Saccharomyces cerevisiae S288C: one gene and its partners. Changing the gene in region 3 together with the main gene of any one other region gives a genetic interaction. Each region holds a gene or a part of one and is shown on either strand. Other genes may lie near its edges. The genes, in order: IDP2, GND1, VAS1 and SER3.

Region 1 (4,133 bases), on a different chromosome or scaffold from region 3:
CTCTTGTATTGTCGTAAACCCATTGGGCATCCATAACATCATGTAAAGTGACCATGTTGTCATTTTCAGACAGAGCACCGGATCTAACACGACGCAATTCTTGCATGTGACCACCAACACCTAATAGCATACCTAAATGAACACACAAAGTACGCATATAAGTACCAGCTTCACAGGAAGCCCAGAAAACACCTAAGTTTCTCTTGTTATCGAACTCAATCAAGTTTGACTCATAGATAGTACGAACACGTAATTGTCTCTTAACAGCAGAGATTAAAGGAGGTCTTTGGAAAAGCGCACCGGTCAAGTTTTCTAGTGAGCGGCCCAAATCCTTTTCATCCTTCAAAGCATCATGCAATCTGACAATACACACATACTCCTTACCAGCACCTTGTTGAGACTTAACCAACCTGGTAGCTCTGTCAATACAAACAATCAAACAACCTGTAACTTTTGGATCCAATGTACCAGAGTGACCAGTCTTCTCACAACGTAAGATTCTTTTGATCCAAGCTACAACTTCGTGCGATGATGGGTTGGAAGGTTTATCTAGATTAATGACACCAGAGCTGATATATGATTTCAGGTCTCTCTTTAGTGGTGAACTACCAGCTGGGATAGGGGTATAATGACCACTTCTGACTAATAACTTATCAAAATTCTTCAAAAGTAATGGCCATTCACTAGTGTCAGTGGAAGCACCTGCAGCTTCAGGCTTAATAACGAAATCCTCCTTTGACATTGTGTATATCGGTCCTCTGTGTAGGTTGTAACGAACTCCAGATGATAATGAATCTTTAAAAAAAAAAACCAATAAAAAATGTTCTGAAAACTATCTTTACATTATATTTTTCCTAAGCTAAACATCTCATCATTTGAAAATTTTTCAAATTTTTTCAGCATTTTCTTTTTGCGAAGAGGGAAAAGAAGAAAGAAAAATTTTCAGTGAGAACAGAAGATCATATGTTACGAGTAGAAAATACTAAAAGTTTTTCGATAAAAAGGGAATATATAATATAAATAAATCAATCTGTCATTGAGTAAGTTTACAATGCAGCTGCCTCGAACTCTTTTTTCAATCTAGATTCCACCGCGTCAATGAACTCCTCGGTAGTGACATAAGCGGATCTTTCAGACTTACCGAGAATGAGCGCCAAATCTTTAGTCATGATTCCATCTTCTTGCACTGTATTTACCGTAGCGCTTTCCAATATTTGGCCGAACTTAACTACATCTGGAGTATTATCAAGTTTACCCCTTTGAATAATACCTCTAGTCCACGCGAAAATTGATGCAATGGAATTTGTTGACGTCTCCTTTCCTTGCTGATGCTGTCTAAAATGTCTTGTTACTGTACCGTGGGCGGCTTCGCTTTCAAAGGTTTTACCGTCCGGGGTAATCAACACAGATGTCATTAACCCCAAGGAGCCAAATCCTTGTGCAACAATATCTGATTCTACGTCACCGTCGTAATTTTTCATGGCAATTATGTATCCACCTTTAGATTTCAACATTTGGGCCACCATATCATCAATTAAACGGTGCTCGTACCAGATGCCAAGGGATTCAAACTTCTCTTTATAACTTCTAGCATACATGGCTTCGAAAACATCTTTGAATTTACCATCATACTTCTTCAAAATAGTATTCTTAGTAGTGGAATATAATGGTAACTTCCTTTCAATGGCCAATTCAAAGGAGGCCTTCGCAAACCCTTCGATCGAATCTGTAGTGTTGTACATCATCATGGCAACCCCACCATGTTCTGGGTAGTCAAATACCTTCAGATCTACATCATGAGTTCCGCTCTTGGATTTATAAACAAGCCTCAACTCGCCTTCTTCAGGGACTATTACATCGGTAGCTTTGTACTGATCGCCGAATGCGTGTCTCCCAATGATGATGGGCTTCTCCCATTGAGGAACTAGCCTTGGAATTCTAGGGATAATAATAGGTTCTCTGAACACTGTACCACCCAAAATGTTTCTAATAGTACCATTTGGAGATTTCCACATCTTTTTCAAATGAAATTCCTCGACCCTTGCCTCATCGGGTGTAATAGTCGCGCATTTGACAGCTACTCCATACTTTAAAGTCGCGGTGGCAGAATCCACAGTTACTTGATCATTAGTCTGGTCACGATACTCCACGGAAAGATCGTAGTACTTCAAATCAACGTCAAGATAGGGCAAGACTAACTTGTCCCTGATTAAATGCCAGATTATTCTTGTTTGCTCATCGCCGTCCATTTCCACAATGGGGTTAGCTACCTTAATCTTTGTCATTACGATTTTATATATATACGTACGTTACCTTCTTACCTCCTATTCTCGTGCCTGAGCAGCGACTGTAGTCGACAAGTCAAGAGTGTAGTAACATACAATTGCAGGCTGTCATTTATATATCATGCCGGAGACTAGTTTGCCTATAGCCAATTCCAACCGAACCAATAATGTTAAGTCCGGTTTTTGATATTATACTCCACCCCCACTATTCCTAGCCCTGAAAGGTATCAAAGAGAACACTGATGATTTGACTACTGCATATTCTTCCCTTATTTCCTTATTTGCCGATTTTCGGACCACCGGCAATGACATCCCGGAGTTATAAAAATAAATAGATAGACGTTCACGTGACCAAAGTGTCACCCTCTCCGGCTAACCCGGTGAGAACCCACGGGCCCAATGCCGTCGTAAGTGACGCATCTATCGTCGCATTAAAGTGAATAACTGTAAAACCCTGGAATAGTATTTCGTTCAGGGTTCGTGTTAGTTCCAAGCTATTGACGACTTCCATGTCGTCATTTTCTAGATCAAATTGAAGCTTCATCTGCGTATTTCCTGTGTCCTCATCGTGCAGAATGTGCGATGAAGAGTTGATCCATTGCTTCATGGGTAAGTTTAAGAAATTGATGTCGTTATGGTACAGATCGATCTGTCCCCGAATGGTATCGATGCGAACTCGGTCTTGCTGGTGCGTCTCGTAGAAGGATAGATCAAAGAATCCTAAAAATGTCCCCACAAGACTGAGCTTTTTGCGCGCTGCCCACCGTAGCTGAAGATCGTTGATCTGAAACTCTTGAATCAATTCACTGGAGTTAAACGTAGCATTGGTAGTAATGGGAATAAACGATGCTTCTTGGAAAATATCCTCCAGCATGTCTGCTGGAATCAATGAGTTATTATCTATACCATCTTCAAGGACATGGCCTCTTGCTGCGAACGTAACAGTCTCGTTCTGGTTCAGGACCGCATTCACTATTTGGCTCATTGGTGTAAGACTATTTTGAGGACATTCTTGGTATAGTAGTTCATCGGGCAGAGGACCTTCAATTTCATTTTGTAAACAGACGACGATATTATCCTTGTCGTGGTGCAGATTAATCGGTTCGTTAAAGCAAGACAAGGTTGGAATTGCGATAGCAGGCTCACCGTTACAGTCCGGTAGCTTGATTTCCCAATTGATGAAAGGGATTGACGTGCCTGGCGGAAGGTGAAGCCAGTCCACCCCTCCAAGAATCGTGATCGGATTCAGTCTCATATCGGCATGAAATCCATCAGAACTGGAGTCCCGCAATGTAAATCCTTGAAGAGATATTCCATCGATCATATTTTGAATCATCCGAAGGGGCGTTGCCGATATTTTTTCCCAATCAATAATATCTTTCCAATCTAAGATTTCGTCATTAAGTTTCAATAAATTAAACCTCGTGCCAAATTTTCTCTTGAAGATAGTCATATCTAAATTCGATTTTATATTTAAGGATTCAAAATCCCTATTCCAAAATTTTTTCAAAACTTTTACGATTTTCCAAATAGACGGTTTAACTAAAATTTTGAACTGTAGGTTATTAATCTGTCGGTGAGCCAAATTAAAACAAATGGGTTCCATGCCAACAACATCTCCCAGTTTATTCTTGAACACTAGATCTCCATCGAATGTGGTCACGTTATTCAGATCTATACAAATGGTTTTAAGAACTTTTTCATTGATGTACCGTATCCAGTCACGTTGGCTTCTGGCGTCCGAGTCATTTTCCGTTCCTGGCCATTTGTCATAATCGAACCAAATTTGAGAGTGTATAGACACCTGCAAATACTTACCTGTATCATTGTTCAGGTCAGAGCCCATAT
Region 2 (4,492 bases), on a different chromosome or scaffold from region 3:
ATAAAAATTCTTGTTAAATATTTCAGGAACATCCTCCTCTCCTTGGTGGTTGTTATTTTTCCCATTTTGTAACCACCTGCGCATTCTTTCCCTAAATTTGGTAGGCTTTTTCTGCTTCGACTGCTTTGGGGAAGTTGAGGTTATTTCCCCAGAAGGATCATTCTCATATGTGCCAGAGCTTCTCATTGTTGCTAGCTTTTCTACTCTACTTCTATCATGATAATAGGCACTATTGTGAAATTTTTCACTTTTATTTTATTTTCTGACTTCATGATTTTGTGTCGCCTGTTTGCCTTTCCTTACGTAAAAAAAAAAAAAGAAATGGAGATAGTTTCGGGACCCCGTTTATAAACCTTTAATATTTTAGAAAACACATAACTTCATATACTATTTATAATTGCATTTGGATTTATTTATCTATTTATTATTATGATTACTTTTACTATAACTAATCTATTTCATTAAATTTTTTTGGTTTATGTCCAGGTTGGAGATTTCCTTTAAGCTTGGTATGTAGAGGAAGAAACATTACCACCGTGGCCAGTCCAGTTGATATGGATATCCTTGTCTACTGGCAAGTTGTCAGAAGCACATTCTGGCAACACTCTGAAAGTGTGAGCACCAAAGTAGTCACGTTGAGCTTGTAGTAAGTTGGCTGGCAATCTTTCAGATCTGTACCCATCGTAGAAAGACAAAGCGGTGGAAAAGGCTGGTGTTGGGATACCGTAGGTGGTAGCCAACGCAATTGACTTTCTCCAACCAGATTGAGCCTTGGTGACGGCATCAGCGAAGAACTTGTTGAACAACAAGTTTTCCAAATCTGGTTCTTCTCTGTAGGCCTTTGTGATTTGACCCAAGAAAACAGATCTAATGATACAACCACCTCTCCACATCAAAGCGATGGCAGGGTTGTTTAGTTTCCAGCCATAAGTAGCAGCAGCTTCACGGATCAACATGAAACCTTGAGCGTAAGAAATAATCTTGGAAGCATACAAAGCTTGTTCCAAATCATCGACAAATTGTTCTCTGTCCTTGACGGCGTCTTTTGGAACTTCTGGGCCTGGTAAGACCTTGGAGGCTCTAATTCTCTCGTTCTTCAAAGCAGATAGACAACGGGCAAAGACAGCTTCACCAATCAAAGTAACTGGCATACCCAAATCCAAGGCGTTGATGGCAGTCCACTTACCAGTACCCTTTTGACCAGCAGTATCCATGATTTTTTCAACTAATGGCTTACCGTCGACGTCGTCGAATTTCAAAATATCTCTGGTAATTTCGACCAAGAAGGAATCCAAGACACCATTGTTCCATTTGGCAAAAACGTCACTGATTTCCTTATCGGTAAACCCACCCAATCTCTTCATGATGTCATAAGCTTCACAAATCAATTGCATATCACCGTATTCAATACCGTTGTGAACCATCTTGACGTAGTGACCAGCACCGGCTGGGCCAACCCATTCGCAACATGGTTCACCGTCGGATTTAGCAGAGATGGATTGGAAGATGTTCTTAATATGTGGCCAAGCTTCTTCAGAACCACCTGGCATCAAAGATGGACCGTAACGGGCACCTTCCTCACCACCGGAGACACCAGAACCAACGAAAAGAATACCCTTCTTCTTCAATTCTTCGTAACGTCTATTAGAATCTGGGAAGTGAGAGTTACCACCATCGATGATAATATCACCCTTTTCCAAAAGTGGGACGATTTGGTTGATCAAAGCGTCAACTGGAGCACCAGCTTTAACCAAAAGCATGACCTTTCTAGGTCTCTTCAATTTGGAGATGAAATCTTCAATGGAAGTAGCACCGATGATAGATTTGCCCTTAGCTTCATTGGCCAAGAAATGGTCGACCTTGGATTGAGTTCTGTTGTAAGCACAAACAGTGAAACCGTGGTCAGCAGCGTTCAAGATCAAATTTTGACCCATGACGGCCAAACCAATCAAACCGAAATCAGCAGACATTTTATTGTAGTTTTTGTATAGAAAGTGGCTTTTTTCTGTAATGGCAACAATACAGGTTTATATGTATCAGGCTATTTACTTTATTATGTAAGAAAGGACCCCACTAAGAAAAAAGGAAACCTTTGAAAAAGAAACAAGCTCAGGAACAATACTGCAGCTTTTAACGAACATCAGGCCCATTTATATAATACAGCCTCGAAGCCCACCAAGGCCAAAGCGCAAGGCCGCGTGGACCACCAGGACGAAGCACCGCGTAACACCGAGGCACCGTAATGTAACACCGACAGCCACAATAGGTACAAAAGCAGCACAACCTCGAGGCGGGACGAAAGAACAGAGAGGTAGCAGGTGATTTACGTAGTTACTATGTAGCATGCATGGAGTTATGTAGAAGGGACATCGTTGACGTTGATGGGAAGGAATAAACCACTCTTACGTTTAGGTCTCTCTGGGGTTGTCGGAGTAGAACTAGTCTTGAATGGCCGAGGTATGAAATGGCCATCCTTGTCGTTTGGCGGTGGCTTAGGGGTAGAGTGTATAGGTGCCGTTGTATCCTTTATAATTATCGTCGGCGGTTCAGTGAGTGTCGCAGTAGTTGCCGTCGTGATCCTGTTTGCGATCAACGTTTGCAAAGTTTCTACAGTTCTTTCGTTGATGAAAAATGTAGATAATGTTGGTGACAAGATTTTGATGTCGATAGGGTTCTGTAAGCCTGTTCTTCTTACGAAGTGATGGGCCAATGGTATGTCTATGTCACTGTTGTCTCTAAACAAATCTTGTATTGTTTGCGGCGGAAGTGAGTATTTGCTATTGATCAATTGAAAATGGTTTGCTAGTTCTTGTAGAAACCTTAAGGAGCTCGTCGGAAACTGTTCACATAGGGATGTTAGCGATTTTTCGGCCTTAATTAAGTCATCGTAGTGGTTTGAAGGTATTAGGCTGTCGGGTAGCTCTAACAGCCATAATTTTATCAGTCCGACGAGATCATTAGTGACATAGCTGTGCGAGTTTTCAAAAAAATGAGCAGTGATTATAGAGTTTGTATTTTCGGTAGTTTTCGATCCTTTGAATTCCCCCAATAAGTCTCTTTTCAAATTAGAAACCCTTACAAAATCAATATCCCTGTGCCAACTTTGTATGACTTTATTAGCATTTGGTTCCTTTTCAATCTGCCGCAGTATAATCTTTATTGCCCCTAACGTATCAAGAGCAGCCAGTTCATTATTTATTTCACTACCACAGAAAAACTTTTCGCTTTTTATGGAGATTTCTTTGCAAGCGTCGACTGGATCACTCGCTTCTAGGATATTCCACCTGCGAAAGGGTATGCCATTATCCCTGAGGAAAAACCCTCTTACATCCGCATTGGCAGTTTCCTGTGGCAGTTGTGCTTCTTGTAGAGAACACACAGGTGAGTCAGTAAATTTTTCACATTTTTGTTGAAACATCATGTTTGATGATTCTAGAGCTCGTTTGATTCCGTCCTCCATTTTAGAGTAATTTTTACAATAATCATAAATGGTTTTTTCCAACTGCACTTTAGAATATTCCAACTGGCAACACTTGGAGAAAAAAATATCTTGTGATGATTCAAGTTGCTGTTTTAAACTCTTCCACTCATTTTTATTCATATCTGTACTTCCCGCTGCATCGCAATCATCATTATCATGTTGACTAACTTTGCGGATCCAATCGGATATAGATGTTTTGATAGATGAAACGTTGGACTTTTCTTCGTGTTCATTGTCGGAGTGTGTTAACTCACCATACGATTTTTTTTTTCTGTTTCCAGCATTACCATTACTCTCTTGCGTAGCAAGGACTTCACTGTTCCAGTAATAGTATTTTTCCTGGTCAAACTGAGAAACTTTGCTAGAGTAAAAACTCAGGGAATATTCTTGTATTATACCCAGTTGGATGAATTCGTTACCTATCCTATCGATATTAAATAAGGACAGGTTTAGTCTGGGTTCAAGTTTTTTCAATTCTTTGATCAATGACCTGCCTTGGAAACTTTGATTTGACAATCCTGGAACGGAAAAGACACTTTTCTCCAGGATGACTTTTCCCTTCAAGGTTTGCAAAAATGACATAAATTGGTCGCAATCCTCAAATTTTAACCTCTCGTCTAAAGTGTAAGGAAACTCGCATACGAAGTTCAACCTGGTTAACGGTGCACTATCCTTTCCATTATCAAAAACAGAGGAAGAATTTTCCACTGGCGTATTGGCTTTTTTCAATTTATATATAGACTGAACTCTTTTCTCACATCCAATTAGTGCCTCTTTAGCTGCGACTAAATCCTTAATGTAAGCTGAATAACGAGATGACAAATCGTTTTCTGCCTCACGAAGGAAGCTCTCATTAAGATCTCTTAGTTCTTGCAATGGAATTTTACAATCTCTTTCAACTTGCTCTGTTGATATTATATTAAACTGTTTGCTCATCACTTCCAGCAGCCTGCTATTCATTGAATTGGTTGCTTCCATTTTTTGTAAATTGTTCAATGTTGGTTTCCAAAA
Region 3 (6,468 bases):
CGCCTTTTACACCCCAACTAGACAGCGAAACTGATGCCGGTTATTTTGATGACTTCACCAGTGAGGCTGACATGGCCAAATATGCTGATGTTTTCAAAAGACAAGACAAATTAACGGCTATGGTAGATGACTCGGCAGTATCATCAAAACTTGTTGGGTTCACTTTCCGACATAGAAATGGTAAACAGGGTTCCAGTGGCATCTTATTCAACGGACTGGAACACTCAGACCCCTTTTCAACCTTTTACTAGCGTAAAAATGAATTCTTGTCTTGCATTCGCCGCGATATAATTAGCTTTAACGAGCTTCATGCAAACTTTTCAACTAGCACCTATGAACGCTTTTTTCATAAATATACATATATATATATATAGTTGTGCATTACTTAGGACTTCAAGCCCATTGTTTAAAATCTCAGTTCACGGTAACGGTCCATCCCATGACCGTTTTGAACTAAACTTAAGCATTCATGTTGGGAGCGGCGAAACTTGGTAATGTTTTACAGGAAAACAGCAATGACCACTATTAATCGAAAATCTGCAAAAAATGAAAAGGAATGGGTGTTAACATCAATTGTTTTTTCAATGATAATTACAAATTGGACTGATACTACATTGCTAGATGTACAAAAAACGCAAGGTAGCTCTCTTAGAAGGATCCATAATATATAAAAAAGGGCTTATGGTTTACTGATATCTTTTTCACTTCAAAAACTTACATATAAAAATAGGATGACAAATGCAAAGATTTTAGTAGCTCATATAAGTGAAAGCGATGCCGATGAGGCTATCAGAAAGATCAAGAAAGTGAATGAAAAATCAGGGCCCTTTGATCTAATAATTATATTCAGTAACTCGTATGATGAAAATTTTGAGCTGAATACTGATGGGTTACCTCAACTAATACTACTATCGTGTGATAAGGCTAACAATTCGAAATCCAAAAAGATAAATGAAAATGTAACATTGCTGCATAATATGGGTACTTATAAATTAGCAAATGGAATCACTCTTTCATATTTTATTTATCCGGATGATACTCTTCAAGGGGAGAAAAAAAGCATACTGGACGAATTTGGCAAAAGTGAGGATCAGGTAGACATTCTCCTTACAAAAGAATGGGGCCTTTCGATCTCTGAGAGATGTGGAAGGTTGTCTGGAAGTGAAGTTGTTGATGAATTGGCGAAAAAGTTACAAGCAAGGTACCATTTTGCCTTTTCAGATGAAATAAACTTTTACGAATTAGAGCCTTTCCAGTGGGAAAGAGAGCGCTTATCGAGGTTCCTCAATATTCCAAAATATGGATCTGGAAAGAAATGGGCCTATGCATTCAATATGCCAATAGGGGACAACGAACTAAAGGATGAACCTGAACCGCCCAACTTGATAGCTAACCCGTATAATAGCGTGGTTACAAACAGCAATAAAAGGCCACTAGAAACAGAAACAGAGAATTCGTTCGATGGAGACAAACAGGTACTTGCTAATAGAGAAAAGAATGAAAATAAAAAAATTCGAACGATTTTGCCGTCAAGTTGTCATTTCTGCTTTTCAAATCCAAACCTCGAGGATCATATGATAATATCAATCGGCAAACTAGTGTATTTAACCACAGCGAAGGGACCTTTAAGTGTTCCTAAGGGTGATATGGATATCTCAGGCCATTGCCTCATTATTCCCATTGAACATATTCCGAAATTAGATCCAAGCAAGAACGCAGAGTTGACACAGAGTATTTTGGCTTATGAAGCTAGTCTTGTGAAGATGAACTACATAAAATTTGATATGTGCACGATTGTCTTCGAAATACAGTCTGAACGTTCTATTCATTTCCACAAACAAGTTATTCCCGTTCCAAAATACCTCGTTCTAAAGTTCTGCAGTGCCTTAGATAGACAGGTTCATTTCAATAACGAAAAATTCACAAGAAATGCTAAGCTAGAGTTCCAATGTTACGATTCACACTCTTCCAAACAATATGTGGATGTAATTAACAACCAATCCAATAATTATTTACAATTTACCGTCTACGAGACTCCTGAAGCGGACCCAAAGATATATTTGGCCACATTTAATGCCAGTGAGACAATAGATCTGCAGTTTGGACGACGTGTACTAGCCTTTTTACTTAACTTGCCACGCAGGGTGAAATGGAATTCTTCAACCTGTTTACAAACTAAGCAACAAGAGACTATAGAGGCTGAAAAGTTTCAAAAGGCCTACAGGACCTATGACATTTCTCTCACAGAAAACTAAACTAAAACTATTTCATTTAGAATTTCAAATATATCCAAATATATGTATATATATGTAGAATACTAAGTCATGCTACCTCTGAACGTTTAAGAGACCTAGCAACTCAGAGGTGATGAATTAAAAGAAAAACCGGGTAAAGTTCTTCGAGAGACCGCGCTGAAAAAATTTTTTTAGAAGAGTCACCCATACAGCCTACTGGTGTTCTCTGTGTGTGCTACCACTGGCTGTCATCGTTGTTGTATGTCCTTCAGATTTATGGAATTACTTAGATGGTATGAATAAGTGGTTAAACACATTATCTAAGACATTCACTTTTCGGCTTTTGAACTGTCATTATAGGCGATCATTACCACTTTGTCAAAACTTTTCTCTGAAGAAGTCGTTAACTCATAATCAAGTCAGGTTCTTTAAAATGAGCGATCTTGATAATTTGCCTCCAGTTGACCCAAAGACTGGTGAGGTCATCATTAATCCGTTAAAGGAAGATGGCTCTCCAAAGACTCCTAAGGAAATTGAAAAAGAGAAGAAAAAGGCTGAAAAACTGTTAAAGTTCGCTGCCAAACAAGCTAAAAAAAATGCTGCTGCCACCACAGGTGCATCTCAAAAGAAACCTAAGAAAAAGAAGGAAGTTGAGCCAATCCCTGAATTTATTGACAAAACTGTTCCAGGTGAGAAAAAAATCTTAGTATCCTTGGATGATCCGGCTTTAAAAGCTTATAACCCTGCTAACGTTGAAAGTTCTTGGTATGACTGGTGGATCAAGACTGGTGTTTTTGAACCTGAGTTTACCGCTGATGGTAAGGTTAAACCAGAAGGTGTATTTTGCATTCCAGCACCTCCACCAAACGTCACTGGTGCCTTACATATTGGTCATGCTTTGACTATTGCTATCCAAGATTCTTTGATCAGATATAACAGAATGAAAGGTAAAACTGTCTTATTCTTGCCAGGTTTCGACCATGCTGGTATTGCTACTCAGTCCGTTGTGGAGAAGCAAATCTGGGCTAAGGACAGAAAGACTAGACATGACTATGGAAGAGAAGCTTTTGTTGGTAAGGTCTGGGAATGGAAAGAGGAATACCATAGCAGAATTAAGAACCAAATTCAAAAATTGGGGGCTTCTTATGATTGGAGCCGCGAAGCTTTCACTTTGAGTCCAGAATTGACCAAGTCTGTTGAAGAAGCTTTTGTTAGACTACATGATGAAGGTGTTATTTATCGTGCGTCCAGATTAGTTAATTGGTCTGTTAAATTGAATACCGCTATCTCTAATTTGGAAGTCGAAAATAAGGACGTTAAAAGTAGAACGCTTTTATCAGTCCCAGGCTATGATGAAAAGGTTGAATTTGGTGTTTTAACATCATTTGCTTATCCAGTTATCGGTAGCGATGAAAAACTGATCATTGCTACAACTAGACCTGAAACTATATTTGGTGATACTGCCGTTGCAGTTCATCCTGATGATGACCGTTACAAACACTTGCATGGTAAGTTCATCCAACATCCTTTCTTACCAAGAAAAATTCCAATTATCACCGACAAGGAAGCTGTTGACATGGAATTCGGTACTGGTGCCGTTAAGATCACTCCAGCCCATGACCAAAACGATTACAATACCGGTAAGCGTCACAATTTGGAATTCATCAATATTTTGACTGACGATGGTTTATTAAACGAGGAGTGTGGTCCAGAGTGGCAAGGCATGAAGAGGTTTGATGCCAGAAAGAAGGTCATTGAGCAGCTGAAGGAAAAGAACCTATACGTTGGCCAAGAAGATAATGAAATGACCATTCCAACTTGTTCCAGATCTGGTGACATTATTGAACCTTTATTGAAACCTCAATGGTGGGTTTCTCAAAGTGAAATGGCCAAAGATGCTATTAAGGTTGTTAGGGATGGTCAAATTACCATCACCCCCAAATCTTCTGAGGCTGAATATTTCCATTGGTTGGGTAACATCCAAGATTGGTGTATTTCCAGACAATTATGGTGGGGTCATCGTTGTCCAGTTTACTTTATTAATATCGAAGGCGAAGAACACGATAGAATTGATGGTGACTATTGGGTTGCTGGTAGGAGCATGGAGGAAGCTGAAAAGAAGGCTGCTGCCAAATACCCTAATTCCAAATTTACTCTGGAACAAGATGAAGATGTTTTAGACACCTGGTTCTCGTCCGGTTTGTGGCCTTTCTCCACTTTGGGTTGGCCAGAGAAGACTAAAGACATGGAAACTTTTTACCCCTTTTCTATGTTGGAAACTGGTTGGGATATTCTTTTCTTCTGGGTTACTAGAATGATTCTATTGGGCTTAAAATTGACCGGTTCAGTTCCATTCAAGGAAGTTTTCTGCCACTCTTTAGTCCGTGACGCTCAAGGTCGTAAGATGTCTAAATCTTTAGGTAATGTTATTGACCCACTAGACGTTATTACTGGTATTAAGTTGGATGATTTGCATGCAAAATTATTACAAGGTAACTTAGATCCAAGAGAAGTTGAAAAAGCTAAGATCGGTCAAAAGGAATCCTACCCTAACGGTATTCCTCAATGTGGTACCGATGCTATGAGGTTTGCATTATGTGCTTATACCACTGGTGGTCGTGATATTAACTTAGATATCTTACGTGTCGAAGGTTACAGAAAGTTCTGTAACAAAATCTACCAAGCTACCAAGTTTGCATTGATGAGACTCGGTGACGATTATCAACCACCTGCCACTGAAGGTCTATCAGGTAACGAATCCTTGGTTGAAAAATGGATCTTGCACAAGCTGACTGAAACCTCGAAAATTGTCAATGAAGCTCTAGATAAACGTGACTTCTTGACGTCCACTAGCAGTATTTACGAATTCTGGTATTTGATTTGTGATGTTTACATCGAGAACTCTAAATACTTGATTCAAGAAGGCTCTGCTATTGAAAAGAAGTCCGCAAAGGATACATTGTATATCTTGCTGGACAACGCTTTGAAATTAATCCATCCATTCATGCCATTCATTTCTGAAGAAATGTGGCAAAGACTTCCAAAGCGTTCCACTGAGAAGGCTGCCTCAATTGTAAAAGCTTCTTATCCAGTTTACGTATCTGAGTACGATGATGTCAAATCGGCCAATGCTTACGACTTGGTCTTGAACATTACCAAAGAAGCTCGTTCCTTGTTATCTGAGTACAATATTTTGAAGAATGGTAAGGTTTTCGTTGAATCTAACCACGAGGAATACTTCAAAACTGCTGAAGATCAGAAAGATTCTATTGTCTCGTTGATCAAGGCCATCGACGAAGTCACTGTTGTTCGTGATGCTTCCGAAATTCCAGAAGGTTGCGTATTGCAATCTGTTAACCCAGAAGTCAATGTACATCTTCTCGTCAAGGGACACGTTGATATTGATGCTGAAATTGCGAAAGTTCAAAAGAAACTTGAAAAGGCTAAAAAATCCAAGAACGGTATTGAACAAACCATTAACAGTAAGGATTACGAAACAAAGGCTAATACACAGGCCAAGGAAGCCAATAAAAGCAAGCTGGATAACACTGTTGCCGAAATCGAAGGTTTGGAAGCTACTATTGAAAACTTGAAGCGTTTGAAATTGTAGATTGAAGGTAGATAAAAATTAATGTAATATATATATATATATATGCTATGTATATGTAACAACGAAAATGTTAAGAATTTTAGAACATTGAATAATAACTATTTCCAAATATAAGAGGTAGTCTCCGGCATACGACATAGCATGTTGTGGTATATTATAATCTATAATGGCTATACAACTAGACGAGGTGATATATTGTCCTGTATTATTCTTCTTATATTTGTGACAAGTTCTTGACACTTTTGCTCACCCAGCTCCAGTAAACTGAACAATTGATCTTCATTAAAATCACCATTGCTGTCTAACAATAAAACGTTTTTCACGACTTTACCGCCATTGACGAACTCCAGAGCTAAAGTGTGGACAGAGAGCGAAATCTTCAATTGCTCGGCAGTGGGATCGACAATGATATCACTAGTGTCTTTGATTATTGCAATAGGGATGCTTGCGCACATACTATTTAAGGCAATTCCTGCATCAACTAAAGCCAAAAATGCCGCATTTATACAACAACTTAGCTCTCTCAGGGAGAATTCGGCTTCATCTTCACCAGATTCCAGAATTTGACAAGTTATCTGGCAGAGCTGTCTTGGGTAACAATGACGAGTGATGAGTGGGGTCAGA
Region 4 (4,221 bases), on a different chromosome or scaffold from region 3:
AATTCTTTGAACCCTGTAAGGCAGCCTTTTGTCTTACAAGAATTTATCGAAGGAGAACTCTTGATGAAAGATTGGGATCCATTGATTGAAGACGGTTCCTCCAATCAAAAAAAATATGACAATGTTATTAAACAAGTTTCTGATTTTCAGTCGAAGTTAGTGTCATTGAAATTAAATGCATTTGGATCCATATATTTTAACAATGACTTAAAAGACGGAAATGAGAAGGAGTTTGTTAAGGAAGACATATACGATGGGGAAACTAATCCGGATCTACAAAACAGATGGAAAATTGGGCCATCCGTGGAAAGATGTCTCTGGAGACATAAATCTCACTTGGATTTTCATAAACAAATGAAACCTTTTTTGGGACCATGGCCAAAGAAGTCTCCAATGGATATAATTAAAAATACTGGCCTATTGGAAGCTGAAAATGCTAAAACTAGAATAGCCATGAAAGAGGCAGGAAGTTCAGCTGAATTGATGTATCCTCGAACTTTGAAGGAGCAAATAACTACCTATGAAAATTTAGCTAAGATTGCCCCGGATTTATTCAACGTCAAAACAAAGGCCATTCCAAATATGCAGGAACTATTGTCACCACGTTTGTTTCATCCTGATCTAGACCCCATGAATATTATTGTTAACAAAGAAGCACAAGAAGCCTATCTATTAGATTTTGAAGGAGCATGCACAAAACCTTTCATTTTACAGAATTCGCCACAATTCATCGCCTATGATGGGCCCAAGATTTATGACTTAAAGGAGGACATAACCGATTTTGACAAATTATCTGAGGCGGAAAAGGTGCAATATCAGTTCATGTACAAGCGCACCCGTAATCAACATCAATGGGAGAAAAAATTAAATGACAATAATCCTAAATTAATTACTGCAGTTGCCCCACCTGTTAAGCTACTGAGAAGCCCATATATTGCAGCTGTCGAAAGAAAAACGGAAGAAGAGTATTTACTTATTGATGAATCACTATTGCAATTGAAGGAAGTTTGGGACATCTTTGCCCAGAATGAGTTAGTGAATCAGAAAAAGTTTCCTCTAAACTATAGTAAAGAAGATATTGAAAGACATGTTGAGGATTTGCAAAAATTACACGAAAAGCTAATCTCTACACCATTTGCTGCCACTCAAGGGTGGATTCCTCAAGATATGTTTGATCAACTATTAAATTCCGGCAGTATTGTTAAGCAAGAGAACGGAGACTACACCGTGAAGCAACCTGAAGCTACCAAATAATCTATACTAAAAATGAAATATTTTTTTGTTTTCTTTACCTCATTCAACTGTATAGAACGTTATAACAAAATAATCAAGTTAAAACCCTTTTTTGTACACAATGGAATCTCTTCCATTTACTAATCAACTTAACAATGCTGGATTGGATATATTGATAACGTTTTAAAAAGCGTTGCGTGATGTTTGGGTGCAATTGGCGGAAAAGCGGAACTTTCAAATTTACGATAGGTGGAGATACATCTCCACCTTTCTCCCCATTATCTTTGAATTTTCCTCAAATATATAAAGAGAACAACAAATCCATAGAAATGCCATTGTTTAATCCTGATTATCTACATTGTTTTAGTTTTTTACTCACAATCGAGTAATGCCTTTGTTTGGCCAAGCTATGTGCAAATATCACAAATTAAAAATTTGGTTAAGCAGTTAGGCTGGACCTAATATTTTAGAAAAACCTAATTTTTTTTGTGGACCCATTTTCGATATTTACTCACAAATGGAATTCAAGGGGAACAACTTCGGTCTCAGCACTTTAATTATTCTTCTCGTTCCCACCTAATTTCGCAATTTATTGTCCTTGACTTCTACCACGAGAAAAAAATTAAGAAAATGCAACGCTGCCCGTGCAGGGTTTTCTGAGCGGGATGAAAAAATCAGACAAATATCCAAGTTATGAGTAATTACTTTGTTGGAAGGAGGGAGCAGAGGATAAGGAAATTCTTAAAACTGTTATGTATATAAAGGAAGAACCATTTCTAGTTATTTCACTTTTTGATACTTGTCAACTATCTTAGTAAAAATACAGAACTCTATAAAGAACCACAGAAAAATCGACAGCAATGACAAGCATTGACATTAACAACTTACAAAATACCTTTCAACAAGCTATGAATATGAGCGGCTCCCCAGGCGCTGTTTGTACTTCACCTACGCAATCTTTCATGAATACCGTTCCACAGCGCTTGAATGCTGTAAAGCACCCAAAAATTTTGAAGCCTTTCTCAACGGGTGATATGAAGATTTTACTATTAGAAAACGTTAATCAAACTGCTATTACAATCTTCGAAGAGCAAGGTTACCAAGTCGAATTCTATAAATCTTCATTGCCCGAGGAAGAGTTGATCGAAAAGATCAAGGACGTTCATGCTATTGGTATCAGATCAAAGACTAGATTAACTTCAAATGTCTTACAACATGCGAAGAATCTGGTTTGTATTGGTTGTTTCTGTATCGGTACCAACCAAGTTGACTTAGACTACGCTACCAGCAGAGGTATTGCTGTTTTCAACTCGCCTTTCTCCAACTCAAGATCAGTAGCAGAATTGGTCATCGCTGAAATCATTAGTTTAGCAAGACAACTAGGTGATAGATCTATCGAATTACATACCGGTACATGGAATAAGGTTGCTGCTAGATGTTGGGAGGTAAGAGGAAAAACTCTTGGTATTATTGGGTACGGTCACATTGGTTCCCAATTATCAGTTCTTGCAGAAGCTATGGGTTTGCATGTGTTGTACTACGATATTGTAACTATCATGGCCTTGGGTACTGCCAGACAAGTTTCTACATTAGATGAATTGTTGAATAAATCTGATTTTGTGACACTACATGTACCAGCTACTCCTGAAACTGAAAAAATGTTATCTGCCCCACAATTTGCTGCTATGAAGGATGGCGCTTATGTTATTAATGCTTCAAGAGGTACTGTCGTGGACATTCCATCTTTGATCCAAGCCGTGAAAGCCAACAAAATTGCAGGTGCTGCTTTGGATGTTTATCCACATGAACCAGCTAAGAACGGTGAAGGTTCATTTAACGATGAGCTAAATAGCTGGACTTCTGAATTAGTTTCATTACCAAATATCATCTTGACACCACACATTGGTGGCTCTACCGAAGAAGCCCAAAGCTCAATCGGTATTGAAGTGGCTACCGCATTGTCCAAATACATCAATGAAGGTAACTCTGTCGGTTCAGTCAACTTCCCAGAAGTGGCATTGAAATCATTGTCTTACGACCAAGAGAACACTGTGCGTGTGTTATACATTCACCAAAATGTACCAGGTGTTTTGAAGACCGTCAATGATATTTTATCGAACCATAACATCGAAAAGCAATTTTCCGATTCAAATGGTGAAATTGCTTATTTAATGGCTGATATCTCTTCTGTTGACCAAAGCGATATTAAAGATATTTATGAACAACTAAATCAAACCTCTGCTAAGATCTCAATTAGATTGCTATATTAATATGCAATCGATTCTCATACTGTCAACTTTTTGAACATGATTAAAAGTTTCCTATAAAATATTAAAAAGAACCAAAAAAAAAATGGATAGAAGAATGCTTGAGGCAATAATAATGATTATCTATTTTATATATACATACATAATCATTTAAGTTTTTTTTTTAAAGATATTTCGATTTAGCCGAATCTGCTCAATGCCTCTTCGATGACATCCTTGTGGTCTTCTGAAATTAGGCCTTGTTTGATTTGGTGGTTTCTTTTACGAATATTTTTCTCCTTATCCAGTTGTTTCTGTACTCTTAATTTTCTTTCATCAATAACGTTTTGAGTCTTTTTACGCAAAAAGGAACGCAAACCCGAATTCTTACCTTTCACATCAGGTTTTACATCTGGAATGTCGCTGTTGGTTTTGGCTTTATTATTAGCATCCATTGTAGTTTGCGCCAAATCCTTAGCGTTTAACCTTATGGTAGAAGACCTTTTATCCACTGAACCGATGGAATTCGGATCTAAAGTAATTGTATCTGCTGGCAGTTTGTTCAATAGGGTTCTGACTTCCTGTTCCTGTCTTTGTTTTTTGGTTTCGAATGGGTTTAATTCTAAGGCATCGTAATTGGCTTCACCTGCACCAGGTACAATCAAATTCGTAATACCCGTTTGATGGCCTACACCTAGTAAATCTTCAAATGGTACGAATCCCAAATTTTCTACTTTGTTTC

The links.
Region 1: mutations in VAS1 (region 3) and IDP2 together harm fitness more than expected from each alone (negative genetic interaction), as found in Saccharomyces cerevisiae (one large-scale study listed by BioGRID).
Region 2: mutations in VAS1 (region 3) and GND1 together harm fitness more than expected from each alone (negative genetic interaction), as found in Saccharomyces cerevisiae (one large-scale study listed by BioGRID).
Region 4: mutations in VAS1 (region 3) and SER3 together harm fitness more than expected from each alone (negative genetic interaction), as found in Saccharomyces cerevisiae (one large-scale study listed by BioGRID).

Annotation. Positions count from the first base shown.
Region 1 is NC_001144.5:502,743-506,875, reverse strand, and holds IDP2 (isocitrate dehydrogenase (NADP(+)) IDP2), read right to left. Parts: upstream 2,286-4,133; coding exon 1,047-2,285; downstream 1-1,046. Other genes in the region: pseudouridine synthase CBF5, read right to left, coding at 1-742; TAG1 (Tag1p), read right to left, coding at 2,629-4,133. UniProt on the Saccharomyces cerevisiae protein: May function in the production of NADPH for fatty acid and sterol synthesis.
Region 2 is NC_001140.6:468,438-472,929, reverse strand, and holds GND1 (phosphogluconate dehydrogenase (decarboxylating) GND1), read right to left. Parts: upstream 1,971-4,492; coding exon 501-1,970; downstream 1-500. Other genes in the region: SSP1 (Ssp1p), read right to left, coding at 1-186; RGD3 (Rgd3p), read right to left, coding at 2,354-4,492. UniProt on the Saccharomyces cerevisiae protein: Catalyzes the oxidative decarboxylation of 6-phosphogluconate to ribulose 5-phosphate and CO(2), with concomitant reduction of NADP to NADPH.
Region 3 is NC_001139.9:669,657-676,124, forward strand, and holds VAS1 (valine--tRNA ligase), read left to right. Parts: upstream 1-2,529; coding exon 2,530-5,844; downstream 5,845-6,468. Other genes in the region: serine/threonine-protein kinase DBF2, read left to right, coding at 1-251; DRN1 (Drn1p), read left to right, coding at 732-2,255; exosome non-catalytic core subunit RRP46, read right to left, coding at 6,015-6,468.
Region 4 is NC_001137.3:320,593-324,813, forward strand, and holds SER3 (phosphoglycerate dehydrogenase SER3), read left to right. Parts: upstream 1-2,093; coding exon 2,094-3,503; downstream 3,504-4,221. Other genes in the region: AIM9 (Aim9p), read left to right, coding at 1-1,254; UTP7 (Utp7p), read right to left, coding at 3,680-4,221. UniProt on the Saccharomyces cerevisiae protein: Catalyzes the reversible oxidation of 3-phospho-D-glycerate to 3-phosphonooxypyruvate, the first step of the phosphorylated L-serine biosynthesis pathway. Also catalyzes the reversible oxidation of 2-hydroxyglutarate to 2-oxoglutarate.